Coturnix japonica: one gene and its partners. The protein of the gene in region 5 binds, or shares a complex with, the protein of the main gene of each other region. Links are inferred from orthologs where the notes say so. Each region holds a gene or a part of one and is shown on either strand. Other genes may lie near its edges. The genes, in order: LIN9, E2F1, RBL1, E2F4, TFDP2, E2F6 and LIN54.

Region 1 (3,761 bases), on a different chromosome or scaffold from region 5:
TTTTTTCTATTTAAGTTTCATAACTTTTGAACCCACTAACAGAACCATTACAGCTTGGAGAAGAAAAGGCTCAGGGTGATCTCATCTATGTGTACAAATACGTGAAGGGAGGATATAAGAAAGACAGAGACAGGCTTTTTTCAGTGGTGTCTAGAAAAAATGCAGTGGGCACAAACTCAAACACAGGAGGCTGCCTTCTGAACATAAATAATTGTTTTATTTTTTTTCACTATGAGAGCGACTGAGCAATGGAACAGGTTACCAGGAGAAGTTTCTGCCTTGGAGATGCTCAGAGGCCATCTGGACGTGGTCATGGGCAACCTGCTTTTTGTCAACCTAAAATAGGCATTTCTGTTTGTTACTGGTTTTTTAATACTTTTAAACAAGAAAATATTGTCAGCTTTTTTCAAGATCTCAGCAGAAATCTTTTGTCTCAGTTTTAAAAGATTTTGAATGGTTCTAAATCATTCGAGTGTGTTATCAAATAATTTTAATCTACTTCTGAAGTATAAGTGTTTGGTTTTTTTTTAGCATCACATGTCTGTTAGAAATTTCCTATATCTATCCTCAGTCATGCTCAAGTAAGATAAATATCATGGCAATACCAATATTTGCCCAGGAGGGAGGAGAAAGCGTGACACTTCATATTCATAGTGCTGATAGCAGAAAATAATAGTGTCTCCATGTTCTTGTGAGCTACAAGAAAGAAATTTTGAAGATTAGCAAAGTGGCTTTGTGAAACAGTTTGAGTGAGGGATATACAGAAGAAAACACAAGAATGTTTATTTCGGCGTATAATAAGAGTAATAAGCAGACTTGGAAATAGAGGAGCTGACTGCTCAATACTACATGAGATTTGAATAATTAATCTTTGAGTTTTTCTCTGGAGAATAGTTGGTGTAGAATAGGGAGCCAGTAGAGAAATTATCAGTATTGTCTAAAATACCCTTGTAAAATGGCGCTTTTTATTGATCACTGATCAATACTTAGCTAATAAGTTCTACAGAGAATGTTTAAATTGCATTTGACTACAGTAAAGCAATTAATAAAGTTGTAGTAAATTATATCATAAATAACTACTTCTGCAATTAGGCAGACCTAATTGTTTTTTGTTACCAACACAGGAATGATTCCTTTATTAATAAAGGAATAGAGATAGGAGCAGTGTCTGTGCTTTCAGTATTATTTTCATGTATCGTGCCTGTTCAGGAGATTAAAAGTGAAAATGAATAAAACCAAATAAAGACCTTGTGAGTAAGTCTGCAATCTCTTAGATTACATTCTAAGGCCAAAGCAAAGGGACAGATGAGTTTTAGAGATGATCTGATTTTACACAAGAACCTTCATCCAAACAAATTTATACTGGTACTGTGATCAGTGTCAGAACAATTAATCTACGTAATAGAAACTTGTGTCTAAGAAATACTCAGCATGAATGCTAGTAGAAGAGACAAGGAAAAGCTCTTTTATGTTGAGTCTGCTGCCCTTTCATACTAAGTTTAACCTTCAAAACTTTCTACTGTGTACAGTAGGTGATGGCAGACAGGTAACCTGACAGTAAGTCCTAAGTACAGGCGTGGACATGGTGTTCAGGATAGGCTGGATATGAGGCTCTCTACAGCTTTGTTGTGAAACCAGATGGACCACAGTAAGGATAAAAAGTCCTCAAAATCAGTACTCTTTTGAAATATTAATGCAAACAGCATTCCCAAGTCTTTCTGGTTGTTCTTTGGATGGTTCGATGTTTGTTTAGGTTTGTTTGTTGTTGTTTTCTTTGTTTTAATTTTGTTTTAAGCGAACTGTTACTCTAGGAGTAATAATTCCAGAGACTCAGAGCATCTAAATCTCTTCATCAAAATCTTTCTCTCTTGAGCACTTCACTTCAAGCTTTTTCATTTACTCTCACTGAGTTGTAAACTGCGCTCATTTGTTTGTTATGTATTTTGTATACGTATGTCTTCAATGTCAAATTTAAGTATAGTTTTACCTCATTGTATTGTAGGTGCTCCTCTGCATTCTTTGAGGAAGAAAGATCAGCATTAAAACAGAAGCGGCAGAAAATAAGACTTTTGCAGCAACGTAAAGTTGCAGATATTTCACAGTTCAAAGATCTTCCAGATGAAATTCCATTACCCCTTGTAATAGGAACAAAAGTTACAGGTAGTTTTTCTTAAAAACTAATAAACAATACCCAAGATTTTTGCAAATATTTTGGTAAACTGCGGTGTTACTTACTGTGCATAGGTGAAATAAATTTAAAACATTAAAAATTAATTGCTTTTGTTGCTAGCTCATTGAGAAAGCGCTTATCGTGATTATCTAGTATTTGTAAAACAACATGGTTTTGAGATAAGATTTTGTGGTTTATTATTTCTGGTGTTGAAACTGTAGTTGTTTATTTTTATTGTTGTTGTTTGGGTTTGTTTTGCTTGAAGTAAAGTACCTCCCAACAAATCCTAGAGAGGCTTCAAAGCCAAGAGCTTAGTGCTGCCTGGAAGTTTAAAATACGAGCTAATATAAAACTTAAGCTTGATTTTCCATAAATATAAAAATACCTATCTGAAAACAAATATACAATTGATATTGCAGTGTAGCTGAATATATATGCTAAATAGGACATTGTCTTATAGAAAAAAGTACTCATAACTGAGAAAGGGATCTTGTTAAAAATGGTTTTTTTTTTAAAGAAAATGCATTCAGCTTTGCTTAATTTTGTAAAAAAAAAAATAAAAAAATCTTGAATTTCTTCTTCCTCTCTGTGAAGGAGGATGCTTTTCACTTGAGCACTGTATCTCCCACTCTGGCCTCTTCATTGCTTCTTCATTGCTTTCTGAGTTCTTCAGCATCCCTGTCCTTAATTCTTGCTGAAAAGCAGGCATACAAAGCACCCTGTATCTTCTCACTCTCATGGACCTATATCCTTCTATATCTTCTTTTTCTCAGTATACAGTCATCACTGCGAGTGGTCATAGAGAGATGGTGTGCAAAATTATTCCAAAATTGATTTTTGCCTGCAAAATCTAATTGGCAGAAGGTATTGGGTGTTAGATAGTATTTTGTTTAGACATAAATGTAGTGCTGAAGATTAGATGTGGGAAATATTTGACTTGCAAAGATAAATTTGACAAAAAAAAAAAAAATTGGGTGGTGTTTCTAGTGGATACAGCTTTTTTCTGGGTTTACAAGTTTTGCTTGTTTGTTTTTCTATATATATGCGTTGGAATGCATATATAAAAAAAGATTACATATCTGTGCCAAGGTTACATGCGTAACATTTAAGTCTGTTCTTCTCAGTGACATCAGAGCATTATAATATTTGAGTTTTTGTGGAGGTTTTTGTTCTTAATATGTTTTTTCTTTCATATGTTTGTTGTTGTTTTTTTTTTTTAGCACGATTGCGAGGTGTCCATGATGGGCTGTTCACAGGACAGATAGAAGCTGTAGACACTCTTAACGCTACATACAGAGTCACTTTTGACAGGGCAGGTCTTGGGACACAAACAATCCCAGATTATGAAGTTCTTGTAAGTATTAATGATACATTCCCAAAATAGCTGTAATGCAAATTCTTTTTTGTTGTTGTTTGTTTGTTTAATCTACAGTTGTGTCCTTTAATCAAGAAGAATGTGTTAATTACATCCAGGTAGTGTTGTCATAAACCAGAAACAAGCATAACAGATGCATGGGAATTTCCAGGAGAATGAGTTTCTGCTGCTGCTTGTTATACAGAATAAGATCACCTTCTCCTAATACAAATTGTA
Region 2 (4,406 bases), on a different chromosome or scaffold from region 5:
GGTGGGGAAAAGCCCCCTTTCCCCCCTCAGCATTTGTCGCAGTGACTGTTTTGCCTTTCATTTGTCTTTGCATCTGCCCTTTTCAAGTGCCACAAGAGCTGAAAGCCTCGGCGAATTGGCACGGGGGAGGTTGGGGGGGGGAGCCCGCTCCCCCTGCATAAACTGCCGTATGAATGAGGGAGGGGGGAATAAAACAAACCCGTGCTGCCCCCAGCTGCCCCGGCCTTTGTGAGCGCGGTGGGAGCAGCTGGTGCCGCAGCTGCCGCTCACAGCCCGCGGCCCCGGAACGGCCCCGCAGCCGGGGCGGGTGGGACCGTGTGTCCGGGCGGGGCGGCACCAACGGGCCGCATCTGGCGTGTAACTGCTGCTCGTACCACTCGCTAACGGGGATATCGCCGTGACCGGGGTGCGGGTTATCGCAAGGGCCGAGCGTTAATTAACAGCGCTCACCGCCGCCAAGCGGAGCGGTGCTGCCGTTCGGTGCTGTGCTGCAGGGCTGGGCCGTGGGCTCCGCAGCCACAGGAAGAACGAGCAGCAAAACACCGCTCAGCGTTCACTACATCCCCGCTGTGAGGCACCGCCCGCACCCAGCGCTAACCCGGCCGTCCCGCTGAGCCCCGCTGCGGCCGCAGCTCCAACTCCGGCCCCGCAGTACCGAGATGGGGGGGTGTTTATGTCCCTGTGGGTTGGGCTCCGTTGGAGGCACATTGAGGTTATCAGCGCCCCGCACACGGGATACAGACGGCGGGAGCCGCCCACGCCACGTCCCGCGGCTTTGACTATGGGCTGCCCTGCCCTGCACCGCCCGCACCGCCACGGACACGCAGCTCAGCCCCGCAGCCCGCACAGCGTCACGGGCAGCTCTAGCCCAGCAGTGCAGGGAGCGCCCGGCGCTCAGACCCGTCTGTGAGTGACCCCACGCGGGACCAGCTCCGCGCCGCCCTCGGCCCCTTTAAGGCCCGGCCGCGCTCCTCACCCACGCGGCGCCACGGCCGCGTCCCCGAGACGCCTCCCGATTGGCTCCTGCCTCAGCTCGGCGGTTCTGATTGGCCGCCTGTCAGCGCGTCCGCCGCCGCCGCCCTTAACCAATGGGCGGCCGGCACCGCCCCTCCCTCCGGCGACCTCGACCAATCAGACGGTTTCCCCGCACCCCCGCCTCAGCGCTCGGCGTTGGGCGCAGCCAATGGGCGGGCGCGGGGAGGTTGGCGCCGCTTTCGCGGCAAAAAGGATTTGGCGCGCAAAGGCGCGCGGGGCCGGAGCGCGGGACAGCCCGGCACAGCCCGGCACGGCCCGGCACGGCCCGGTACAACCCGGAACGGCCCGGAACGACCTGGGGAACGGCCCCGCGGATCGGCCCCGCGCCCGGCAATGGGCCGCGCCCCCGCCCCGGCCGCGGCCCCGCGCCCCGCGCCGCCCGTCACCTGAGCCATGGCTACGGCGGGCGGCGCGGCGGGGCTGGCGGCGCTGCTGGGCGGCTCCTCCCCGCACCTCCTCATCGTCTCGGCCTCCGAGGAGCCCGCGGGCGGCTGCCGCCCCGACGCCGACCTCCTGCTCTTCGCCACGCCGCAGCCCTCCCAGCCCGGCCCCGCGCCGCGCCGCCCCACGCTGGGCCGCCCGCCGGTAACCGCGGGACGGGGGAGGGAGCGGGGCTGAGCGGGGCTGAGCGGGCCGCCGGGCGGGGCCGGGACGTCGCGGTGCCCACGCGGGACCCCCCCCCCCCCCCCCGTCAGAGCCCGGCCGCGCGGGGCACCGCCGCTCCGGAAGCCGCCGCCGAGGCCGCCTTCCGCCCGGCAGCGCCGTTGCGCGGGGCTGCCCCCACAGGCCGGGGCCCGGCCCTGCCGCCGCGGTGCGTTCCGCGTCCCCGCGCTGAGGACGCCCTGTCCCGCAGGTGAAGCGGAAGCTGAACTTGGAGACGGATCACCAGTACATCGCCGACAGCCTGCCCGCCGCCCGCGGCAGGGCCCGCATCCCCGGCAGAGGTACGGCCCCGCTGTGCTGCCGGCCTGAGCCCTTCGGGATGGGCCTCGTCACCTCCCTCTTCCCCTCTGCCACCTGCCGTCCCCGTAGAGCGCTGGGCCCTGCCCGGCTGCTCGCTGTCAGGGCTCAGTCTCGGGGCCCTGCAGCACCATCCCCCGAGCTTCCCATTGCCAGCAGCTGCCGGGTGCTGCTCACCTGCCGGGTGTGGCGGTGCTGGGGCTGCCCCGCGCCCCACGGCTGAATCTTGCACCTGTCCCCAACAGGGGCAAAGTCTCCTGGGGAGAAATCCCGCTATGAAACCTCACTGAACCTCACCACCAAGCGCTTCCTGGAGCTGCTCAGCCAATCCCCCGATGGTGTGGTGGATCTCAACTGGGCGGCCGAGGTGCTGAAGGTGCAGAAGAGGCGCATCTACGACATCACCAATGTCCTGGAGGGCATCCAGCTCATCCGCAAGAAGTCCAAGAACCACATCCAGTGGATGTATGTCCATCAGGGTGGGGGGATAACACCGAAGCTGCCAGGGTTGGGTGGAGGGAGGGAGGTTGGGTTCCACCCTGAGATCGGGAGGTGATGGCAGCAGTGGGGTGTTAGTGCTGGGGGTGACAGCCCTGTGTACCCCAGGGGCAGCCAGGTGGCCGCGGGGGCTTCAAGCCGACAGCAGCTGCTGGAGAAGGAGCTGCGGGATCTGCAGGCGGCAGAACGGCAGCTGGACGAGCTCATCCAGACGTGCACGGTGCAGCTGCGGCTGCTCACCGAGGATCCCTCCAACCAGCAATATCCTTCGGTGCGGGGCCGGGATGGGGCTGGATGGGCTGGAGAGCTGTTGGGGAATGGAGCCCCCCCCTGCTCTGACACTTATGGTCACTGTGTGGGGTTTTGGGTGTGAATGTGGCCCCGTGTCTGCTCCTTGACCCGCCGCACCGCAGCCTACGTCACCTGCCAGGACCTTCGGAGCATTGTGGACCCCTCTGAGCAAATGGTGATGGTTATCAAGGCACCCCCAGAGACCCAGCTGCAAGTCTCAGACCCGGCAGAGGTGAGTGAGGGGTCTCTCCTCCCCATGGATCTTCACAGCCCTCGGTACAACTCCACCTTGGCACTCCATGTCCCTCCTGTCCCCAGGCTTTCCAGGTCTCAGTGAAAAGCACTCAGGGCCCCATCGACGTGTTCCTCTGCCCCGAGGACAGCTCAGGGGTCTGCAGCCCCGTCAAGAGCCCCTTCAAGGCACCTGCTGAGGAGCTGTCCCCTGGCTCATCGCAGCAGAGAGCCTCCCCGCTCCTGCATCCTGCTCAGGATGTCAACATGCTGCTGCCTGGTGAGCAAGGTGGGGATGGGGATGGGAATGGGATGGGAATGGGATGGGAAGGGATGGGATGGGATGGGATGGGATGGGATGGGATGGGATGGGATGGGATGGGATGGGATGGGAATGGAATGGAATGGGGGCACTGCCTGGGCTCTGTGGTGTGGGGACAGTGTTATCACTGTTGTTCCAGTTCCAGGAGCACGAGGTTACAGGGCTGAGGTCTTGGCTGTGTGTTAGGAGGAGCCTGACCTCCATGCTCATGCAGTGCCAAGTAGTTGGACTCAATGATCCTTATGAGCGAGTCCTTTTTAAATTGGGGTATTCTGTGATCCACCCAGCTGTGGGCTCTGCTCCTACCCAAGCTTGGCAGAGACAGCCCTGGATCTTTCTGCTTAGGAAAGGACACTGTCCCTCTTTGTCCCACCACTCAGCAAGTGGTCTGAGTCACGCTGCCCAGTTGGCCTGGATGTTTCTGATCACTCCTGATGCTTTGTGTGCCATCTGCATGGCCTCAGTAGCTTAGAACACAGCAGTTCTGGTGTGTGCTGTGGGGCTGACAGCCTCGCTCTGTCCCCACAGAAGCACTGCTACCAGGCACAGCACTGCCCTCCAAGTGCTCCACAGAGGATGTGAGCCTGTCACCGCTGGCCTCCATGGACACCCTTCTGGAGCAGGCCAAGGACGATTTCTCGGGCTTCCTGGCGGATGAGTTCATTGCCCTGTCACCACCACAGGCACAGGATTACCACTTCGGCCTGGAGGAGGGTGAGGGCATCAGTGAACTCTTTGACTGTGACTTTGGGGACTTCACGCACTTGGACTTCTGAGGCTCTTGTCCTGATTTCAGAAGCTATCCCACTGCCAAGGGGGGGGACGCAGGCAGGGCTGAGGACAGCCACGTGGTGCCCTGTGCCTTGGTGTGGCTCTGGTGCCTTCCTGGGGTCCCTGTGCTGCAGCAGCCCTGGGCCCCCTCCATCCGTCCCCTCTGCAATATTTTCTTCCCTCCTATCCGGCATCTCTGTGCCATGATGGGACAGAGCCCAGCTTGGTGCTTGAGCCCACATTGGGGCCTACTCCTGTCCCAAGAGGAGGATGCTGGGGAGCAAGGGGTCCCCATTGG
Region 3 (4,429 bases), on a different chromosome or scaffold from region 5:
ACTAACATTTTGTTCAGTTTTGCCTCCAGTGGAAGCAGAAAAGGGTTTTCTCAGCTGTTAAATCCAAAATCGATATAATTTATTTATGTAAAAAAAAAAAAAAAATCACGATTGCTATATTTTTGAACCTTTTAAGTACTAACTTTCTTTTTATTCAGTAGAAGAACATGTACTTGCCCTAAATCCTTAAAATACAAATGCTATAAAACTTGCTGTATCTTCAAGCCTTACTGTGACTGGACGCAGACATCTCTTCATGGTCCGTTTCTTGCACGGGATGGTTTCTCCAGGGTTACGCTGGTAGGGAACAGGGTTGTAAGTGGCGTTTATTTAATTAGCTGGCATGCTCTGTACCTTGTTCTATTATCAGCCGTGTCCGCTCCGTCTCTGGGTGTTTAGGCTTCTCTTTGACTGCTTTGTGACCCTTTTGCAACCCGATGTGCTCTGTGCATTACTTGCGCTGTGAGGCATTGGCAGCTCCTTCTCATTTTCCATCCTATCCCAAAGAAACGCCGACGTTCCGCGGGTTGTCCTGGATCCCCACACAAACACATCCCCACCAAACGCGCTAACAAATAAAGGTCTGTGCTCTTGGATGTGGATAAAAAGAAAAGGAAAAAAAAACAAAAAACCAACAAAAAAAAAAACCAACAAAAAAAAGATTTAAAGGTCAGATTTTTATTTTTTTAATTTAGTGACGAGATGATGCTTATCTTTCAGACTTGGCAGAGCCTTGCTACAGATGTATATAATTTTTTTCAGCAAATATATGTGAACGTTTAATTCACCTGACTGTGATACCGGTTCCTCGCTTTTCTCTCGGCACCAGCGCCGAGGTCCCGCCGTGCTCCCGCAGCGGAGCGGCCCAAGGCACGGCGGGCTGATCCCGGAGCGCTGCGGGGCGCCCGGGGGCGGAGGCGGAGCCCGGAGAGCGGCCGCGGTACCGGCCGGCATCGCTCGGTGCGCTCGGGCAGCACCGCTCTGCGGGACGGTCCTTCTCCCACTGACACCGCGACACCTGCACCGGAGCCCGGCGAACGCCCGCAGGTGCCGAGCAGCGGCTCGCGGTGTCGCTCCGGCTCAGGGCGGCGCCGTTACTGAGCGGTCGCCGTTCGGTTCCTCGGGCGGACGGACGCGATAAGGGTCAGTTCCCGGCGGTGCGTGGAGCCGTGCGGGGCTGGGGCAGCTCCGAGGTCCCGAGCTGCTGCCCGAGGAGCCGCTCGCACGGCGCCATGTGCGGACGGTCCCGGCCCCGCAGCCCCGCTCGGCACAAGGTGACGCTGTGGGCAGCGCCGTGACACACGAGGCCGCCCCGCACCGCGACCGAGGACGGCGGCTCTGCGGAGCGGCGGGCACAGCGCGCACATGGGACGGGCCCAGGGACGAGCCATCCCACGGACACGGACACGGACACGGACACGGACACGGACACGTCCTGGTTCCGTCCGCCCCGCCCGCTCCCCCTCCGTTACACACACAGCCCCTCCCAGCCCCGCGCTCCCCTCCCGTTTCCCGCCCGTTGGCGCTCACGGCGCCGGAAGCGGCCGCGCCGTTTCCGGTGGTGGGTTTTGGCGCGCAGAGCAGCTCGGCGCGGTGCCGGCCGGGCCGGGTCGGGCCGTTGTTGGGCCGCCGTCATGTCCCGCACGGAGCCGCTGCTCGAGCCCGAGCTCGGCGCCGCCGTGGAGCGGTTGTGCCGGGAGCTCAACCTGGACGCGGGCAGCGCGGCCGAGGCGCTGCGCGACTTCACGGCGCTGCGCGGCACCTACAGCCTGGAGGTGGGCGGTGAGGCCGGGCGTCAGGCCGCGACGTGGCGAGTCGGCCCCGGCCCCACGCGCGGCGTTGCCTTGCAGGGGGACGCGCAGCACTGGTTGGCCTGCGCGCTGTACGCCGCGTGCCGCCGCCGCGTGCTGCCCACCGTGGGCTGCGGGACCGTGGAGGGGAACGGCGTGTCGCTCACCCGGATCCTGCGCTCCGCCAGGCTCAGGTGCGCAGCTCGGCCCGCGGGGCGGCGCTGAGAACGGACGCGCGTTAAAGCCGATAATAAAGTGGCGCTTTCCTCGTCGGCTTTTCTTTCTTTTTTTTTCCTTTTAAGTCTGATTCAGTTCTTTAGCAAAATGAAGAAGTGGATGGACATGGCCAACGTGCCGCAGGAGTTCCGGGAGCGGGTGGAGCGACTGGAGAGGAACTTCGAGGTGTCCACCGTCATCTTCAGGAAGTTCGAGCCCATATTTCTGGATGTCTTTCAAAACCCCAACGAGGAGACCTGGAAACCCCAGCGCAGCAGGAAGCAGAGGTACTGCAGAGCGCCGTGTGGCTTTGCATGGGTTTACAAGTAACGGGAACGTTTGTTGTGCTTAGAAAATAAGGCCGAGCTTTGAAGTGACTGAGTGTGAACGCAGGGATGGTGCAGGGCGGTGGCTGAGGCTGGGCTGTCAGTCCCCCCGTGCCTCTCAGGGTGCTCCGTCCGCGGGGCTCCAACGTGCGGCTGCTTTATGTGACTGCCCGTATGTGAGTGCCAGGTGAGCGCTGCCCTTCTGTGGGAGAAAAATGCAGACAATGTGCTCATCTGTGTGACACTGTAACTGCTTCTGGTGTCTTCCTGATGCACAGAGCGCTTCTAGATTCAAGGGCTTTGTCCTTGTTCTGCATTGACTGTGTGGTTGTCCCTGGTTGCTCTGATGAGGATACGACCTTCAGCAGCAGGAGCTGAGCTGGCTCTTTGCTGGGGGTTTCTGCTGCTTCACGTGCTGGTCTGGATGCAAGGGGTTAATTTGTGGTAACCCGCTCTGGTGTAGCTCCTTGTGCACAAATGGGAAGGGAGCTGCTGCTGCTGCAGCCAGTTCTGCTGCGTCTGCACAAGGAGAAATGTCCATGCACTGTTAATGTTCCTTCATCAGAGCAGCTCTCATTAGCGTGACCGCACTGTTAGCTTCTCTGTCAGGTGGTTTTCATTCATTTCTTCTCCTAGACTATTCACCAGAAGAGCTGCAGTGCAAGTTGTGGTTGCATGTTTTGAAGGGATGTGTGATGCATTAGTAAAACGTTTAGGAGAAAGATGCACTGCAATTGAGAGAGCCCTCAGCATGGCTCTGCGTGCAGCTCTATGAGACTCCAGTTGCAATTACACCATCACCAAAGCAGTGTGCCTGGGGCACCAAGCACAGGCAGCTGTTGGCTCAGAGCAGTCGGTGATGCTGTGCCAGAAGCTCTGCAGAGCTATCCAGGAGGCTGCAGTAAGAGGAGCTGCTCTGTGTGCCCGCAGCTTACAGTGTGCCTTAGTTTGCACTCATGAGGTGATGGCTCTGTCTGTTGCTTTGAGCATGGAAACAGAAGGAAACTTGCTAAGCAGTATGTTTCAGCTTCCTGGAAGCAGAGACTGATTCCCACCCCTCTCGTTGACAGGCGGGTGCTGTGTGGTGTTAAGGATCTCTTCAACTTCTGCTGGACCCTGTTTGTGTACACTAAGGGTAGGCTTGTGCTCTGCAGCCACGTGTTTCGCATGCGTTCTGAGTTACAAACTTCTGTTGCGTCGCCTGACATGATGTGCTGTCTCTTAAAGGTAATTTCCGTATGATTGGGGATGATTTAGTAAATTCCTATCATCTGCTTCTGTGCTGCTTGGACCTGGTTTTTGCAAATGCCATTTTGTGTCCAAATCGGAGAGATTTGCTAAATCCGTCGTTTAAAGGTAGGGTGGGGATCAGTTATTCAAAATGAAATACACTTTGTTCCTTTGGTTATTCTTCTTTAAGTAAAGATGGAGGTTGGTTGTTTTGTTTTTCCCCTTCGCCCATTCCCAGGTTTACCAGCTGACTTCCACGCACTAGAGATGAAAGCCTCAGAGGACCCCCCGTGCATCATTGCCACGCTGTGTGAGCTGCATGATGGGCTTCTTGTGGAAGCGAAAGGAATAAAGGAGCACTACTTCAAGCCATACATTTCTAAGCTGTTTGATAGGAAGGTTCGTATTGCTATTTGAAGGATGTGTGATAGCGCTCATACTGACGGTCCTGTCTTGAACACTGAAATCCCGTGTGTATGGAGGAAGGTGCACTGGTAGGCAGAGGACTTGTGTTGGTTCAGGTCTGTTCCTCTGTGCATTTTGGCAGGAGCGGAGCTGAACTCTCCCTTCTAATGATGAGTGCTGTAGGGCCCCCCTCTGCTTTGGCTTCTTATGTCAGTGGAGAATCCTTGCTTCCTTGGCAGTATGGAAATTGCAGGTGATAACCTGTTTTAATTAAAGATGATGTTATCTTGTGGAGTAGCTGTCATGATTGTCTGGATCCTGGTGTGTGTCATGGGCTAAACACAGTGCTCTGAATGAGGAGGTTGGGGTCACAGGTGGAAAAACTGTTCTGTGTGGTTTTGCTCCTGGAGGTATTTCTAAGCTCCGTGGAGATGTCTCTATTTGCCCAGTAGGTTCCTCCCT
Region 4 (3,761 bases), on a different chromosome or scaffold from region 5:
TTCCTGGAGACCAGCAGACAGATTATTGCTTGGTTCATTGAGCAGTTTGCATTTTATTGCACCTGTTTTTCTTCCTAAAAGAGTTTGCTTCTGAACTCAGACCACACCAAAAACCTTAGTTGTTAGTGACCAAAAGGAAGTGGAAACACACTGTGCACCGACTGTCTTGTGAAAACATTTGGGACTCAGCTATCAAGAGAGATAGAAAGGCAGTGCCTGTGATGTTGAGGCCGTTGGGTCTTTAAGTTTAAGCTTTCTTTGGGCTTTATTATGCCTTTTTAACATCATTTAACAATATTTTCCTTAAGTGTAGATTTGTTAAAGGACTCCCATCTCCTCCACAAATCTTGTGCTTCTAATCCCTGCACTTTTGCTGAGCTGACCTTTTGTTACCTGTCTGTAATAGAAGGATGTGCTGTTCTGCTGTCTGCTCTGTGGATCGTAGGGAAGATGATCAGTCCTTCACGCAGGATGTTGGTGAAGCGTGGACACAAACCACACTAAAGTTTAAATATTCAAACTGAAAGCTGCTAACTGCTCGGTCTTTATATGCCTGCTTTTACAGCACTGGTATTTCCCCCATTCATGTTTCTCGTGTTAAATATAAACCTGGATGCAGATTGGGAGCAGCTCATCTGGGTTTGTTGTGTTCTGCAGGACTTGGAAAGGAGATGGTGCTGTCAGCCTGGCTCTCTGTGTCTCTGTGCAGGGGCCAACACAGCCAGCACCAGGCAGCTCTTGCTGATAGAGGCAAGGGAACATCGGCTTCAGGTGTTGGTCCACGTGAGGCTGCTGTGCTGTCTCTGCTGGCAGGGCAGCTCTTCCAGCTGTGTGCCATCCTATTCACAATTCAGACTGGGGAAGATGAATGAGTTCTGTGGAGGAATCGGCTGGAAAAATGCTTGACTTTTCTCGGAAGGGTTGCTTGGAAAGAAGTTTTGCAGGTTCTTTATGCCCTCAGGGTTGGTACGTTCAGAGCTCCACAATCTGCTTAGCAGCTTGAGTGGGTGTAAATGGCAGTCCTCCAAAAGAGGGAAAGCTGTGTGGACTTTGAGAAGTGCCAGGGGCTCTTTGTCAGCATTGGAACAGCCTGTGCCCTGTGAGTGCCGACCTGCTCTGTTTTCACAGGAGACACCCTCCTTGCAATTCGAGCCCCTTCAGGCACACGCTTAGAGGTTCCCATCCCTGAGGTGAGTGATAAGTGCGTGGATAGAGAGCAGCTGTGTGCTATGGGGGAGTGCTGCTGCACTGAGCAGGCTGGGAGTTGGGAAGGAGTTGGTGGTTGTGGTTTTGATGGAGTTGGAGGAACTTGGAACTCAAGGAAGGCTCTGACTGTTAAATAGTTGCCAAGATGATCTGTTTGGAAAGAGCTCTTAATGTACATCTGTGTTTTGCTTCTGACTTTTCTCAGGGCCCGAGTAGGCAGAAGAAATATCAGATCCATCTGAAGAGCACCAGTGGGCCAATTGATGTTCTCTTAGTAAACAAGGATGCTTGGAGCTCTCCTCCAGTGGTGCTACCCGTCCCACCCCCTGAAGACCTCATCCAGTGCCAGGCAGTTGCACCCTCAAAACCACAGATCCCTCCGCTTGCCCACTTCCAGGAGGCATCTGTTCCCAGCAGCACCCAGCCCTCAACGCCAACACCTTCCAGCACTCAGGATCACAGCCCTCCTGAGCAGAAACACACGAACACAGGTGAGAGGGAGGTTGCAGAGAGCAGAAATGGGATGGTTGCCGACCAATAGGGCAGTACAAACCTGGTCATACAGCACTGTCAGCTCCTGGCAAAGGGAGCACCTCTGTGCTTGCTGCACCGAGCCTTTGCTTTCATCTTAGTGGGACTGGATGTGCTAATGGAAATACTGTGTGTGTCTGTGGCTCCTTCCAGAATGCAGCATCTCAGTGCTGGAGTCCAAGAGCAGCAGTGACCTCGATCCCCTCAGCAATGTGTCTGCACCCAGCAGCCATACAGCCAGGCTGGACACGCAGCTGCTGCAGTCCTCTGCCTCACTGGACAGCAGCTCTGTCCTACCCAGCCCCTCTGCCTCCTTTGAGCCAATCAAACCTGATCCTGAAGGAAGTGAGTATGCACCCTTGGTTTGTTTGTCTCTCCAGATTGTGCCACTGGGAGCGAGGGAGGGGCTGCTGGCTCCAGGGGGACGAGCTGAACTCTGTCAGCCAGACCACATGAGCAGTGAACAGGCATTTCTTTGGGGGGAGAAACCACAGCAGTGTGTGGGTGCTGGGGAACCTGGTGTGGAGATGACAGTGTCACATCTAGTGCCGTGTCACTACCTGTGATGCTAGGCTCAGAAAAGCCACAAGGGATGCTCACGTGATGCATCTGTGCTGTTCTAGGTAGGATTATTCTCTTTCAGCCCCTTTTGTAGTGCTAGGTCTGAGTTTTGAGACTGTGAAGCCTTCACTGACATCACTCTTGTAACTTGTTCGGTTATTAGGAGAGCTCTACTCTCTGTTTTTCTCCTTTACTCAGAAGTACTTCTTCTATCTGTAGCAATCTTGTGGTCTTATTGTCTTCCAGTATGTGTCTGGGAAGCTTCCTGCTGTGCTTGTTGAGGTGCAATGGGCTTTAAATGAGGAAGTGTTAGCTTCAGACTGGGAAATGGCAGGCTGGTCCACAGACAGAAGAGCATCCTCTGGATAAGACACTGTGCTTTAATGCTTCGAAGCTTACCTTCCATGCAGAAGTACTTAAAGTTAATGTGTTAGAAGGGGATGGTGCATAAGGACTGAGAGGATAGCAGGGCAGCGGCTGATGAAGCTGTATAGTATTTCAGATGCTGCATTTAACAAAGTCAATCATTTGGTTTGTTATATTCACAGTGCTGGAGCTTCCCAAAGAGCTGTCAGAGATGTTTGATCCAACGAGAGGTACGTTCACACCCTGATCACAGATGAGAGCTTTTCAGGCCCTGTGCCAGCACTAATCTGTGTTCTGCCTTCCCACACTCCTCTTCCAACTTGCCTGCATCATCTAGAGCCACCAGCAAAACCCCTGTTAGTCTTGTTTCAACTGCAGCGTGCCACTGTGGATTTCTCTCTGCAGTAATGCATGCTGTTTTATGGACTATTCCTCCTGCTTTGGAGGGGTGAAGTTCAGATCCAGGAGTGAAAGCTGTGAAGGATTTTGCTTGTTTTACCCTCATCTACTGAAGAAGGTCTAAAAATATAGGTTCTGTATTTTACTGCTATTTATTTTAGCTCATATTATTCCTCTCTGGTTACCTCTAGTTGAAATCCTCTCATCTCACAGCATGGAACTAGGCAGGGTACATTCCTGTTCTTTAGGAAATGGCCTGCAGTGCATCAGCATCTTGAGGACGGGCTCATCTGAGTTTGTTCTGTGGAAGATCACTTCACTTGTGGGTGATGAGGGCCTGGCCAGGCTGATTGAGATCATCACTGTTTAACTTGGTGAAGTGAGAGAGGGAATCAGAAGGTTGTTTCCAAACACTTCGCTTCTAAAAGGGGAAAGATCCGCTTGCACACGCTTGGCCTGGCTGCTTGCCTGCCAACCTTTCAAGTGCTTCGTGGTCCTGTTGGCCAAGTTCAACATCACTGGAGGAAGGAACGATGTTTCAGAGATAATTTCTGCTTGTAGCCTTGTGTGGGCAGTGGAGCAGAGAGCAGTTAATGGCCCATTAGGGAAGGATATACAGAGCTCAGATGTTTGCTGGTGGGCAGCTGGCCAACCTCCCATGGCATATCACAGCTGTGGAGTGAAGGGATCCAATGAGG
Region 5 (3,761 bases):
GTTGTAAACTTTGAAAATCTTAGATACAGTTATTCCTGTGAGCTTAATTATTGTTTCACTCATTAAAAGGAAATAGATGTTCTCCAGACTGGTCTGTGATTATTGATCCCTGCAGAAGACCGTACTATAGGTCTCATTTTCCTCTGGAGAACTGCAGTGGGAAGGGTCTCTGGTAGTGTCTCATCTAAGCATTGAGACTTTACTGAGAGGATTCCAAGCCTCGGCTCCTTGCTTTGCCCATTGTTTACCTCATCTTCACTGATTCTAAATTGTTTCCAGAGACAAATAAGATCATATTCATTCTCCATACAACCCCAGGCAGCCAGGCTTTACAGATCTGGGGCAGCTCTCCACTCACTGCCATTCCAGGTCCCTGTTGTCCCATGCAAATGCTGCAGCCCCTGCCCCACCTTGCTCTGGTAAGCACCATGGACAGGAATTGCTGCTGTTGCTGCTAGGAAGACATTTGCAGGTGGGACTGGTCAGACTGGAGGTTCTGAATTGCACAGCCAGATACATGCAGGCTTTCACAGCATCTTCAGAGCCATCATTTTAGTTCAGCTCTCTTCATTAACACTGTCAGCTTTTTAGCTCTGCGTGTATCTGCTGCAAGACTGCTTCGGAATAACAGAGTAGCAATATGAAGTAGCATACTATGACGGTTCCCAAACACTGTGCATTATCAGCTGCAAGAGTAAGAGACAAGGTTGTAATAAAAGTTATGAAATCTTCAAGATGCAGCTAATAACAAAACTACAGGGAAACTGGCAATGATTAGCAACGTCTACTCCTGTGCTAAGCTCATGTCAGCTGCTTCTTCACAGTATCTCTGCTGCGATAGCATCAGCTCTAATATGTACGTGTGTTTATAGTTTGTGTGTTGTTTTTTGTTTAAAGACACCAAAACATTCAGTATCAAGTAAATACAGGATCTGTTTTCTGCACTGTTGGAAAGCACTTTATTTAGGTATTATTTACCTGCTCAGACAACCTCCAAAGTCCTTACCATTTTCTTTCAGATTCTGTCACACTGTGTGCTGTCTTCTTCCTTCAGTAAGCGCTGAACATCTCATTGTTCAGCTAGGCACCAAATACATTTATTTTATTGTTAAAATAACTTTTTTTTTTATCATAAGTAAGCTTGAATTGTCTTCTCCTAGGGAAAGAAAACGAACTCGAGAATTTATAGAATCGGATTTTTCAGAAAGGTGAGTATTACTGAACTTAATTTACCTTCAGAGCCCTTCAGAGAGCTGGCTGTCTAGTCTCCACTTTAGTGAGCTGTCCCTTCTCCCCACTAAAAGCTGTGCAGTGTGTTATTCTTTGTAGTTACAATTCGTTACCCTTTGCTGTATCACTTCCTATCATTAACATTTGCTTATTATTTATATTTATTTCTGATATATTTACATTTACTGCTACAGACCAAACTGGAGCTGTAAAAAAGAGAGAAAACCACAACACATCTTCAGAAACAAGAATTTTCAGTTCGCTTTCGCAGCTTTCAGTGGGACAAACTCTTGCAACCAGTTAGTTGGTTGCTACAACCAACATGGAATGCGTTCAGCGTGTTTTATTTGTTTGCCTACCAGTGATGACTCGAGTAACTGCGCAGGTTTTAGGAGGGTTTTCTGTTTCTTTTTCTTTGCTGTCCTGTTGTTTTCTTTTTTTAATCTTCTGCTATTCTTTTCTGCTTTTTCTTCTGTCATTTTTTATTGTTATGTTTTCTTTAAATACATTCAAAATTTTCGATAGCACTGGAGCCGGGTCTGCCTGTGCAACATAACACCCCTCCCTGAAACAGGCAAATCAACTTCTGTAACTGTAATGTTTGTAAAAAAAGAAAATCCATCTGAGCATGTGAAATGCATGCAAGTAGTTCCACTGTTTTTATTAAGAAATGCAATGACAAAAGGTTTTTTGATGTAAGTCTTGCATATTATTAGGTTATGTTTTATTAGTATTTTGCTTCCAAGTGTCCATAAAGCTGTCAGTCAAGAATGAAGTAAGATTTGCAGTCTTGCTCAAACACACCTTTTGAACTTACTGACATTTGTTGTGTTGTTAATGTAATGCCTCTGAAGAGCATTTAATTAAAAAGTAAATCAAAGCATGTAAAATTACAACAGCAAGATATAAAAATTTACCTAAAGAAATACAGTGAAATTACATGCAACAGGAAATAACCTTCGTAGAGTAAAACTTAACTTATTAATATAAAACATAGGGAATTGGTGAAAATAAATAACCTGGGCTTCTAAAGATGTAGTGTTTTGAAACAAAAAATGTTCCATCTTAGGGAGAGCTGAGTGAGATGTGAGCAGCATCGGCTGCAGTTGAAAACTTCCATAATGGGGAGCAGCCGATAATGGGGAAAAAGCAGGAACTGGATTTTGAGTTGTGTAAGGATCTGCCAGGAGTGTGCAGTGCTGTGTACCTGAAGCTCCAGGCCACTCTTACTCTATTCTAGATTGTCTGAAGAAACAGATTGTTCCTGTTCTTTCCTTTGATACAAGCTAAGCTCTTGGGTTTCTTTGACTCTTGCAAAAGCTACATAACAAAGCAAGCTTATTAAATTTCAATTTATAAAAATAATTACTTTCCTCCTTACAGTAAAAGAAGCAAAAAAGGAGACAAAAACGGGAAAGGTCTGAGGCATTTCTCCATGAAAGTATGTGAAAAAGTTCAGCGCAAAGGAACAACTTCATACAACGAAGTTGCTGATGAGCTGGTATCAGAATTCACAAATTCCAACAGCCACTTGGCTGCGGATTCGGTAAGCAAACGTGGGGATGTCTTTTTTCTACCACTGCAGGACTGGGTGGCTTTGTGTGACCTGACACGTCCCGCAGTCTCCCTCAGTTAACTGTCTTGGAAATATAATGACCTACTCTTACATTATTTATATATCAAATTCCTTTTTAAAATACAGTCTGTCAAAATTATCAGCAAAATAGAGAAGGCTGGAATAAATAAATGAAGCACTGAAGGCTGCTCTGCCCACAGTGCATCTTGTCATGCTTTGCAGTGGTAACAGATTTGCTGTGACGGCAGCTGCTGCTCAGAGGCTTCAAGTAGGTCCTGTACTTTCCTGTGTGCACAGAGATGCTGCTATGACAGCCAAGCACTAGCACAGATGACGGCATCATTTTACTATCACTCTGGCTTAATGCTGTTCTTTTAGGTGCAAAGAATGTGTTTCTTGGTGGGCTTTCTTTTTGAGTGCTTTAATAGTTATCAGTGCTGCACTGTTCTCTTAGCAGGCTTACGATCAGAAAAATATTAGACGGAGAGTTTATGATGCCCTTAATGTGCTGATGGCAATGAACATAATTTCAAAGGAGAAAAAGGAGATCAGATGGATCGGCCTTCCTACAAACTCAGCTCAGGAATGTCAGAATCTAGAGGTAAAGTGAGGTAGATGCAAATATCTGTAGAGTTCATAAGTCAGTCATTATAACAGAGCTGCTGTAATTCAGAAGAGGTTTCTTTTCCGCACCATTTGAGCCCGACTGGTTTCCCTTCTTGCACAGTATGGAAATACAGCTTTTGGTATTTGACTAAACTGAAACAACATGTTTATTTTCTATGTCAGGTTTGGTTTCATTTAGTATAACTTGCACAGGTTTCAAAAGCTGTTTATTTTACAAAATATTCATTATCTGTATCAGGGATAGTTTTTAAGGTTTAAACTCTGTAGTAACCCGAATTAAACACAAGAAAGTTTTAAACAAACAAACGAACGTGTATTTTGTCAGTGT
Region 6 (4,508 bases), on a different chromosome or scaffold from region 5:
TGGTAGCATTTAAATTCTTTATATATAATCATTATGTAGAGGTCAGAACTTTAACAGGATTTGAATGAGATAAGGAAGTTTAAACAAGCAGACATATTAATATAGGAGATTAAATTAGGAGAGTGGAACAGGCTGCCCAGGGAGGTTGTGGATGCCCCGTCCTTGGAGGTGTTCAAGATCAGGTTGGACGGGGCCCTGGGCAACCTGATCTAGTAAAGGTGTATGTTTGGTGGCCCTGCCAGGCAGGGGGGTTGGAACTACATGATTCTTGAGGTCCCTTCCAACCCGGGTCATTCTGTGATTCTGTGTGATTCTGTGATATACAAAAATATAGACAGATACTTGCATCCATATGATACTTACATGTATAATTTGTCTTTAATGCTTTCATACTTATTCACTTTTTCAGGACAATATTAGCTTTGGCTCATCTTTGCAATTGCACACATGCATCTACAGGAAAGCCCAGCTGCAAGATTTCATTTAAGGGGAGACTGCATTTGAAACCAGAAAATTTTAACGAAATCATTGTTGTAGGTTATATGAATGTTAAAACATCCCATTCAGCAAATGGAATGACCGCCCTCTGGTGGTGGGTCGAAAATCGATCCAATTGGAGAAGATATGCCTCCAGTTGAGTATAACAGCAAGAGGATAATCTTCATTCCTTATTGGACTGTACTTTCTGCTATTGAATACTTAGAGAGCATTATGTTGCCCGTAAGAAAGTGTGTGTTTTTAGGTATCAGTGATGTGTCACAGAAGCACACAGAATCACAGAATGACCCGGGTTGGAAGGGACCTCAAGGATCATGTAGTTCCAACCCCCCTGCCTGGCAGGGCCACCAAACATACACCTTTACTAGATCAGGTTGCCCAGGGCCCCGTCCAACCTGGCCTTGAACACCTCCAAGGACGGGGCATCCACAACCTCACTGGGCAGCCTGTTCCAGGGCCTAACCACTCTCCTAGTGAAGAACTTCCCCCTAACATCCAACCTAAATCTTCCCTCTTTTAACTTAAAACCATTTCCCCGTGTCCTGCTATTATCAGCCCTTTCCAAGAGTTTACTCCCCTCCTGGGAGTAAGTTCCCTTCAGGTATTGAAAGGCTGCAATGAGGTCACCCCGCAACCTTCTCTTCTCCAGGCTGAACAAACCCAACTCCCTCAGCCTGTCCTCATAGGGGAGGTGCTGGAGCCCCCTGATCATCTTTGTGGCCCTCCTCTGGACCCTTAACAAAATCTCCATGTCTTTCTTGTACTGAGGGCTCCACACCTGGACACAGTACAACAGATGGGGCCTCACAAGAGCCGAGTAGAGAGGGACAATCACCTCCTTATCCCTGCTGACCACCCCTCTCCTGATGGAGCCCAGGATCCCATTTGCTTTCCGGGCTCCCAGAGCGCACTGCTGGCTCATGTTGAGTCTTTCGTCCATCCCCCTGTGCAGCCTGTTCCATTGACCCCCACACAGCGCTCAGTGATGAGGGCACTGAGGTAACGATGCACACGGCGCTTCCGCTGCGAGAGAGCGGGAAATCCCCGCGGCACCGGATTGGTGCTCGGCCTTTGCGTCACCTTGGCCAGGTGCGCGCATGCGCAAACGCTCCATCCGCCGCCCGGCCGCCCACAGGTGGGGGAGGGTAGGAGCGGCCGCAGCGCTGAGCCCAGGCGGCCCCGGCACCCCCTCCACCCGGAGGTGGGGCGGGGATGGAGGCGCCTTTATCCCGCACGGGCCCCCAGCAACATCGGGTAGGGTTTTGAGTGCTCTGCCGTCTCATCGAAGTCCGCCGCCGGCGTGAAGGAGGAAGAGGAGGGGGCGCGCCAACATGGCCGCCGCCTCCAAGTGGGAGCGCCTGAGGCCGCTGCGGCCGGACACGCTGCGTCTGAGCGCGGTACGGAGCGGGCGGGGAATAGGGATGGAAATACAGCCTGGGAACGGCCAGAGGGCGGGGCTGGGATGGGCTGGGTTGGGGCTTGGATCCTGCTGCGGAGGGAGGGAGGGGTGTGTGGGGAGGGACGGCGCTGCGGGTTGCTGGGAGCGGGAGGACGTCAGGATAGAGCTTTTCTAATGTAGCTCTTTATAGAATCACACAGAATCACAGAATGAGCCGGGTTGGAAGGGACCTCAAGGATCATGTAGTTCCAACCCCCCTGTCTCTTTACGGGTAGAGTGGAGAGGTTTGATTTAAAACTTGGTTTCCCAGCCAAAATAGGAGTGCTTCACCACCAGTGCTTCTAATTAATGGGTACATATGACTGCAGAGAGTTGAGTGGTGGACTTAATAGAGACCCAGTACATTTTAAGCGCTAAAATCTGGAACGTGATGAAATGTAATCCCTTAAAAAGCTGTTTTAAAAGAGAAAACAGTTTCGGTTCTGTCTCTTTACAAAGAACAAGTTGACACGGTGCCAAAAACAAAAAATGCAGAACTAGAAAGAGGAGACAGAGCTGCTGGGGGCCATTGGGAAGGACAAGGAGGAGGTGGTGAAGCTGGGACCGAAGCTGGGAAGGCAGCGAAGGATGGTCGGAAAGTGGCATCGGCAGCCGAGGCCTATGGGGAGCTGTGAGGCAGAGTGGCCTCGTGAGGCTTATAGAGGTGTTATAGGCCTTGTGGGTTGGGTTTGTGTTCTGGGCCCTGTAGGGGGGATCCCAGGGCCTTCTAGAGCCTTTGTGGGGGGAGCATTCAGGAGTATAGGAGCATAGAATCACACAGAATCACAGAATGACCCAGGTTGGAAGGGACCTCAAGGATCATGTAGTTCCAACCCCCCTGCCTGGCAGGGCCGCCAAACATACACCTTTACTAGATCAGGTTGCCCAGGGCCCCGTCCAACCTGGTCTTGAACACCTCCAAGGACGGGGCATCCACAACCTCCCTGGGCAGCCTGTTCCAGGACCTAACCACTCTCCTAGTGAAGAACTTCCCCCTAACATCCAACCTAAATCTTCCTTCTTTTAACTTAAAACCATTTCCCATAGAGATCCCGTAAATGCTGTAACGGAGGAATTGGGGCCCTATAGATTCTATAGGGTGCTCCCAGGACACCATAGGGCAACAGAGACTCTTTACAGTGCCCTGTTGTCCAGGGCTCTCTCCCTCTCAGGTATTTTCTCAGACCTGAGTGCACTATTTGCAATCAGCCTCTCATCAGACTCTGGTGATGTTAAGCACCAAGTTAACCTGGTCATCTAGCTCAGGTCTGCTCCTGTGCTGTCCATGAGGTATGTAGCAAGAGCTCCACCTGCTTGTATGTCTGCAGCGTGCTGTGGGGACTGAGTGCAAGGCGTGGGGAAGGGCTGAGTGGCTGTGCTGGATGGTGACTGTACCACCTCCCTTGGTAGCCTTTTCCAATGGATCACCACTCTTTCCAAGAAAAAAAACAAACATTTTCTGGTATTGAACTTGAACCTCCCCTGGCACAGCACGTGCTTTGGGACTTTGGGAGAGCAGACTTCGGGACTCAGCTTATTCAGGCAACACATCACTGAAATATTGGGAGAGGCAGCTTGGAAAGATGAAGGGGTGGAGGCCTGTAAGGACATCATCGAGGGTGACTGGAGCTTTTTAACTGCCAAGGAAGGGTGAGTGAAGGAAAATGTGAATTTGCTGCTAAGGGGAAGAAGTGGTTTAGTGAAAGCAGACACAGATAAGGCTGGAGATGTTAGAAACCTCTGGGAATAGGCTGGAGGGATGGATCATCAAGGAGATGATCAACTTGAACAAGGAATTTGAAAATTAAGTCTGAATCCTATACCTGGAAGTGTAACTTGATGTGGTAAAGGCTGGGAAGTGAGATGTTATGGAATTATCCTGCTGAAGAGTCCTGTCCTGACCTGAGAATCTGTATGGACAGTGGGCTAAACATGAGATATCGGTATATCCTGCACTGAGGTGTATGCAGTTCTCCTTTGCTTGTCAAGTATTTGCTTCTGTGGGTGTGGGAGCCATAGTGGTGAGGCTGGTCTCTTTTCAGCAGTGCATGGGGATAGGACTAGGGGTAATGGGATGAAAGTACAGCATAGGAAGTTCCGCACGAATGTGTGGAAGAACTTCTTTACAGTGCAGGTGATGGAGCACTGGAACAGGCTGCCCAGGGAGGTGGTGGAGTCTCCTTCTCTGGAGATATTTAAGACCCGCCTGCATGCCTACCTGTGTGACATGGTGTAGGGAGCCTGCTTTGGCAGGGGGGTTGGACTTGATGATCTCTAGAGGTCCCTTCCAACCAATTCTGTGATTCTGGAGTGCTGTGTCTCATTTGGGACTGACCGATACAGGAAGGATGGTGATAAACTTGAGTGCAGCCATCAGCCATCTGTCAAAAGTGGCACATGTGTTAAGACACGTAACTGAAGGAGCATTTTAAGCCACAGCAACCCACGACTAATTGCAACTACTGTTCTTCTACTGAGTGAGATTCCTTCACATTGCTCTGTTGAGCTGTCAGTTCTCCTGTTACTGTTTGCATCTGGCATTACTTACACCTTGATTTTTTTTTTCCTCAGA
Region 7 (3,761 bases), on a different chromosome or scaffold from region 5:
AAACTGAAGGAAAAAGGTCACAGTTGAATGTGGAGAGACACCAAGCACCACTTTCATGGTCATATGGAGAGTTTCTGCTGTCAGAGTTGTAAAAAGAAGCACCCACACCGCTCCCTCCTTCCCAGTTCACATTTTATTGCACATTGGCAGCAGCCTGGGGTCTTCTTAGCAAGCTGCCAGCTGTTGGGGTATTTGTGTGCAGGGCAGGAGTACTGAAGGGCTTTGTGCCCTGGGATGCTGTGCTGGCTCTAAGGATTCAACAACTGAACGTTACAGAAAGATGGATATAACTTTCAGCTTTTTTAAACCTAAATAAACAATCTTTTTATTTGTAGTAATGCGGATTACTTTCTAGTTGAATCTAACTCGAAAGAATTCTACTGTCCTTTCTGCTAGGTAATGTACCTTCAGGTGAGGATCAGCTACAGGCTAACCAGAGAAGGCGTTTGCTTTACAAGTTGTAAATGGTGATAGTTCAGCTGACCATCCCTTTCTTGATTACAGGCAGGGTTGTTTCACAATCTACTCCAGGAACACCACCAAAGACAATAACAATCTCTGAGAGTGGAGTTATTGGATCATCTTTGAGTACAACAACACAACAGACACCGAGTAAGATAGCTATCTCGCCACTCAAATCTCCTAACAAGGTAAGAACCTTATTCTAGCTGCAGCCTTCTCGTCTCTGCTGCAAAGGAAGCTCTGTGTTTGCATCTTTGCTGCAAGCTGTCTGTGATCTGCCACTCCAGAGTCTCCATTGTGAGTCACTATGCTCTGCTCTGCTATAGTGGCCTAAGCTGGATTTTTCAGCTAGCTCCTTTAATGTGATTTCAATGCACATTACTGCATTAATTTCCCATTCCTGTCACTTTTTGCCATTTCCGAAGCATCCATTCTCCTGTTTCATTCAGCTGTTCTCCTCTAGCCAAGTGCTGAAATAGCGTACTATTTCTTTTATCAACTTCTGAAAAATTCACCAGGCTCTTCAAGAGGAGATCTCAGTTACTTTATAGGTTAACATTTACCAGCCATTGCCTGGTGTTCCATAGGTAAATTAGTCTTCACTAATGTTGACTGATATAGATGAGATTGGCAACGATTCTTGACAGACTGGGAAATTGGTATAGGCAGACAATTGATAGAAAGGTAACTTGTGCATCATCAGCTGTGTTGCAGATGAGCATTGCAGTGATGCTTGGATCTTAGACCTGATAAAATTCCCTTGAGAAGAAGAATATTGCTGGAGAAAGGATGAGTCTTAGAGTGGGAACCAAGATATATAACACATGCAAGCTAAGTACAATGTATGAAAACCTATGTGAGAGTTAAGATTTTGTTAGTTTGGATGTGCATTAGCAGTGGAATGTTACACAAATGGAGCAAAGGGCTTTTGTTTCAGAATTATTACTGGGCAAAACAATGTAGGGAAGCTGTAAAGTCTTATTCTAAGAACTATCAGAAGAGTGAGAGTAAAAAGTCTGTTATCTCCTGAGTTTACTGTAGGCAAATAATTCTAAGTATCTTTTTAAAAAAATGTTTCAAAACCTGTGGATCTTTCTGAAAACTTAAAGCAGGAAATGTAAAAGAGTAGGTAGAAAACAGTGGGAGATGTCCTGGTTCTATCAGTGAAACTGCAACAGAAGGGCTGATAGTATATAGAATAGTCAAATGACACACTGCAGAAAACTGGGTCTTACCAGTATCTGGAAACTTATAAAATAATTTCCTCAGTATTTTCCATTTGGTATGAATTAACAGCATAAAGTGAGATTATTTTTTTTTCATTTCCATCTTTTAAAATCCCCATTGATCATGTAGCCATCATGGTGCCGATTATAAAGCTGTTATTCCAAAATCCATCCTGACGATGCTATGGCTTCAGTGTGCAGAGTTTCCAACCAAAACGGGGCAGTGCTGACTTCCTGCAGGGACCTTTCTGTGCTGTGATTGCACGGTCAGGTTGCACAGTGTGAGTTGTGATTAGATTACAACTCTTTTGTTCACAAGAAGATCTTAATGTACTGTGGGAGAACTGTACCTCTCATAATTAGAGGTACATATATATATAGAGGGTTTGCATACTGCACAGAGGTTTAAACTGCTTCTTTGTTTTGCCAAGCAGCTAACAGTGGTGTCAGTGGCCTCCCAGCCTCCCAACTCCCCCCAGAAGACGGTGGGCGTCCCACTGAATGTAGCGTTAGGACAGCAGATCCTCACAGTGCAGCAGTCAGCACCCTCCTCCCCTGGGAAGGCCATAGTCAACCACACAACCACGCAGGTACAGACTGACTTTTGTTTAATTTTTAGCATGTCTGCATCTCATAACACATGGGAAGACTAGGGTGCTGATCTGCAGGATGGCAGTGGGCATTCCCAAGGTGTTTTTGTAAAGGCTTTTGTTCAAGTTGGCAGAGGAACGGGTGGTCCTCCCATGGAGGTACAGGCTGGCTATGGCTGACAGCCAAGGGTGTACACATAGGAAAAAATGGGTGTCCAATCTGGAAAAGCTTCACTTGGAGCTAACTCTTGTATCTGTATATTATATTTCTCATGTCATCTTAAAGACATGCTGTGATAGAAGGCAGAAGTCTTGGAGTAATTGATTCTTTTCCAACAATGAACTGCTGCTTTCTGGGTGTTTGTTTGTTGCAAGCCTCACTTCATATTTTGGTATGGGTCTAGTAAGCAAAACTCTGTGCTCTGAGACCTGCAGAATTATGAATCAGTTACTTTATTACTAGAAAAATACCGAGATTCTCCCTATTAATTTTTCTAAGTTAACTTGCATTAATAAAAGAAGACAGAATTGAGCTGTTTCACAAACTACAGTTTGGTTTTTTTTAACCCCCTTTGTCATCTTAGGGGAATCTTTTTCCATCTTAATGTCTGTATTCCTGTTATGATAAACACAAAGGACAGTGCGCAAGTGTAAATGAGAAAGGTGGCTATTGCAGGGAGTCTTAACAGTTATATGCACTGCAAAAGACCCAAAGCTCCATCAGATGTTGATAGTCTTAGTATTGTTTCTGTTAATAGGAATGGTAAAATGGGGACATAAACACCAGCACGATTTGACATTTCAAAGTAAAAATGGCAAGATTGTTTTAAAAAGTTGTTAAAACATAAAATCACTCTTGTGCAAGCAACCAATCTGAGTGACCAGTCTGAGATTCCTATGTAGTGTGCATATTGAGATGTGATCTAAAGCTGTCTGAAACGTAAGGATTTCTCCTGGCTTCATAGGGCTCAAGGACATGCCCTTTGAAGAGCCATCACTTAAATATTATTTTCCCAGTTGTTGGATGACAGTCAGCGATTTATGTGCTAGATGGAACTTTGCCTAAGCTGGTCTCTCCGTAATAAAACGCTGTGACTGTGCTTGCAGACTGTGAGTGCTGTTGAAATTTCAGTACTTTTAAATATCTATGCATCCTCCACCACCACCATCCCCCTTCTAAAAAAACAACTTCTCTAAAAGACTGCACTTGTATCTCTAGTGAAGTATGTGTAAAGTGAGATTTTATTCCTGTAGCTATCAACACCTAGGAAAAGGTTCTAAAGGTTCTAAAAATGTCATATTGTTGTATCAATCAAATTTACCACAAAGATTTAACACAGTTGACAGTGACATACTAATATCAATTTTAGTAGATATTGAGAATAAATAGTTGAACTCCAATAAATAGTTGAAGTGACTGAGAACAAGAGAGCAGAAGAGATTAACCCATGTTTGAGTTCACCAGAAAGAGGCTGTTACCAAT

The links.
Region 1: TFDP2 (region 5) and LIN9 share a complex: the UniProt entries of both Homo sapiens proteins name them as parts of the DREAM complex. The link is inferred for Coturnix japonica from reciprocal best matches to the Homo sapiens genes TFDP2 and LIN9.
Region 2: TFDP2 (region 5) and E2F1 share a complex: the UniProt entries of both Homo sapiens proteins name them as parts of the DRTF1/E2F transcription factor complex. The link is inferred for Coturnix japonica from reciprocal best matches to the Homo sapiens genes TFDP2 and E2F1.
Region 3: TFDP2 (region 5) and RBL1 share a complex: the UniProt entries of both Homo sapiens proteins name them as parts of the DREAM complex. The link is inferred for Coturnix japonica from reciprocal best matches to the Homo sapiens genes TFDP2 and RBL1.
Region 4: TFDP2 (region 5) and E2F4 share a complex: the UniProt entries of both Homo sapiens proteins name them as parts of the DRTF1/E2F transcription factor complex. The link is inferred for Coturnix japonica from reciprocal best matches to the Homo sapiens genes TFDP2 and E2F4.
Region 6: TFDP2 (region 5) and E2F6 share a complex: the UniProt entries of both Homo sapiens proteins name them as parts of the DRTF1/E2F transcription factor complex. The link is inferred for Coturnix japonica from reciprocal best matches to the Homo sapiens genes TFDP2 and E2F6.
Region 7: TFDP2 (region 5) and LIN54 share a complex: the UniProt entries of both Homo sapiens proteins name them as parts of the DREAM complex. The link is inferred for Coturnix japonica from reciprocal best matches to the Homo sapiens genes TFDP2 and LIN54.

The regions. Positions count from the first base shown.
Region 1 is NC_029518.1:14,858,215-14,861,975, forward strand, and holds part of LIN9 (protein lin-9 homolog), read left to right. Parts: intron 1-2,002; coding exon 2,003-2,160; intron 2,161-3,390; coding exon 3,391-3,524; intron 3,525-3,761. UniProt on the Homo sapiens protein: Acts as a tumor suppressor. Inhibits DNA synthesis. Its ability to inhibit oncogenic transformation is mediated through its association with RB1. Plays a role in the expression of genes required for the G1/S transition.
Region 2 is NC_029535.1:1,933,269-1,937,674, forward strand, and holds the start of E2F1 (transcription factor E2F1), read left to right. Parts: upstream 1-1,413; 5' UTR 1,414-1,428; coding exon 1,429-1,620; intron 1,621-1,888; coding exon 1,889-1,979; intron 1,980-2,240; coding exon 2,241-2,460; intron 2,461-2,601; coding exon 2,602-2,754; intron 2,755-2,901; coding exon 2,902-3,016; intron 3,017-3,102; coding exon 3,103-3,295; intron 3,296-3,865; coding exon 3,866-4,113; 3' UTR 4,114-4,406. UniProt on the Homo sapiens protein: Transcription activator that binds DNA cooperatively with DP proteins through the E2 recognition site, 5'-TTTC[CG]CGC-3' found in the promoter region of a number of genes whose products are involved in cell cycle regulation or in DNA replication.
Region 3 is NC_029535.1:564,087-568,515, reverse strand, and holds the start of RBL1 (retinoblastoma-like protein 1), read left to right. Parts: upstream 1-1,542; 5' UTR 1,543-1,634; coding exon 1,635-1,984; intron 1,985-2,092; coding exon 2,093-2,293; intron 2,294-3,402; coding exon 3,403-3,467; intron 3,468-3,559; coding exon 3,560-3,688; intron 3,689-3,800; coding exon 3,801-3,961; intron 3,962-4,429. UniProt on the Homo sapiens protein: Key regulator of entry into cell division. Directly involved in heterochromatin formation by maintaining overall chromatin structure and, in particular, that of constitutive heterochromatin by stabilizing histone methylation.
Region 4 is NC_029526.1:1,548,241-1,552,001, reverse strand, and holds part of E2F4 (transcription factor E2F4), read left to right. Parts: intron 1-1,128; coding exon 1,129-1,190; intron 1,191-1,411; coding exon 1,412-1,697; intron 1,698-1,890; coding exon 1,891-2,082; intron 2,083-2,846; coding exon 2,847-2,894; intron 2,895-3,761. UniProt on the Homo sapiens protein: Transcription activator that binds DNA cooperatively with DP proteins through the E2 recognition site, 5'-TTTC[CG]CGC-3' found in the promoter region of a number of genes whose products are involved in cell cycle regulation or in DNA replication.
Region 5 is NC_029524.1:8,760,944-8,764,704, reverse strand, and holds part of TFDP2 (transcription factor Dp-2), read left to right. Parts: exon of another isoform or gene 1-1,160; coding exon 1,161-1,208; exon of another isoform or gene 1,209-1,795; intron 1,796-2,613; coding exon 2,614-2,776; intron 2,777-3,260; coding exon 3,261-3,407; intron 3,408-3,761. UniProt on the Homo sapiens protein: Can stimulate E2F-dependent transcription.
Region 6 is NC_029518.1:88,734,094-88,738,601, reverse strand, and holds the start of E2F6 (transcription factor E2F6), read left to right. Parts: upstream 1-1,592; 5' UTR 1,593-1,829; coding exon 1,830-1,895; intron 1,896-4,507; coding exon 4,508-4,508. UniProt on the Homo sapiens protein: Inhibitor of E2F-dependent transcription. Binds DNA cooperatively with DP proteins through the E2 recognition site, 5'-TTTC[CG]CGC-3'. Has a preference for the 5'-TTTCCCGC-3' E2F recognition site.
Region 7 is NC_029519.1:41,219,675-41,223,435, forward strand, and holds part of LIN54 (protein lin-54 homolog), read left to right. Parts: intron 1-504; coding exon 505-650; intron 651-2,122; coding exon 2,123-2,278; intron 2,279-3,761. UniProt on the Homo sapiens protein: Component of the DREAM complex, a multiprotein complex that can both act as a transcription activator or repressor depending on the context. In G0 phase, the complex binds to more than 800 promoters and is required for repression of E2F target genes.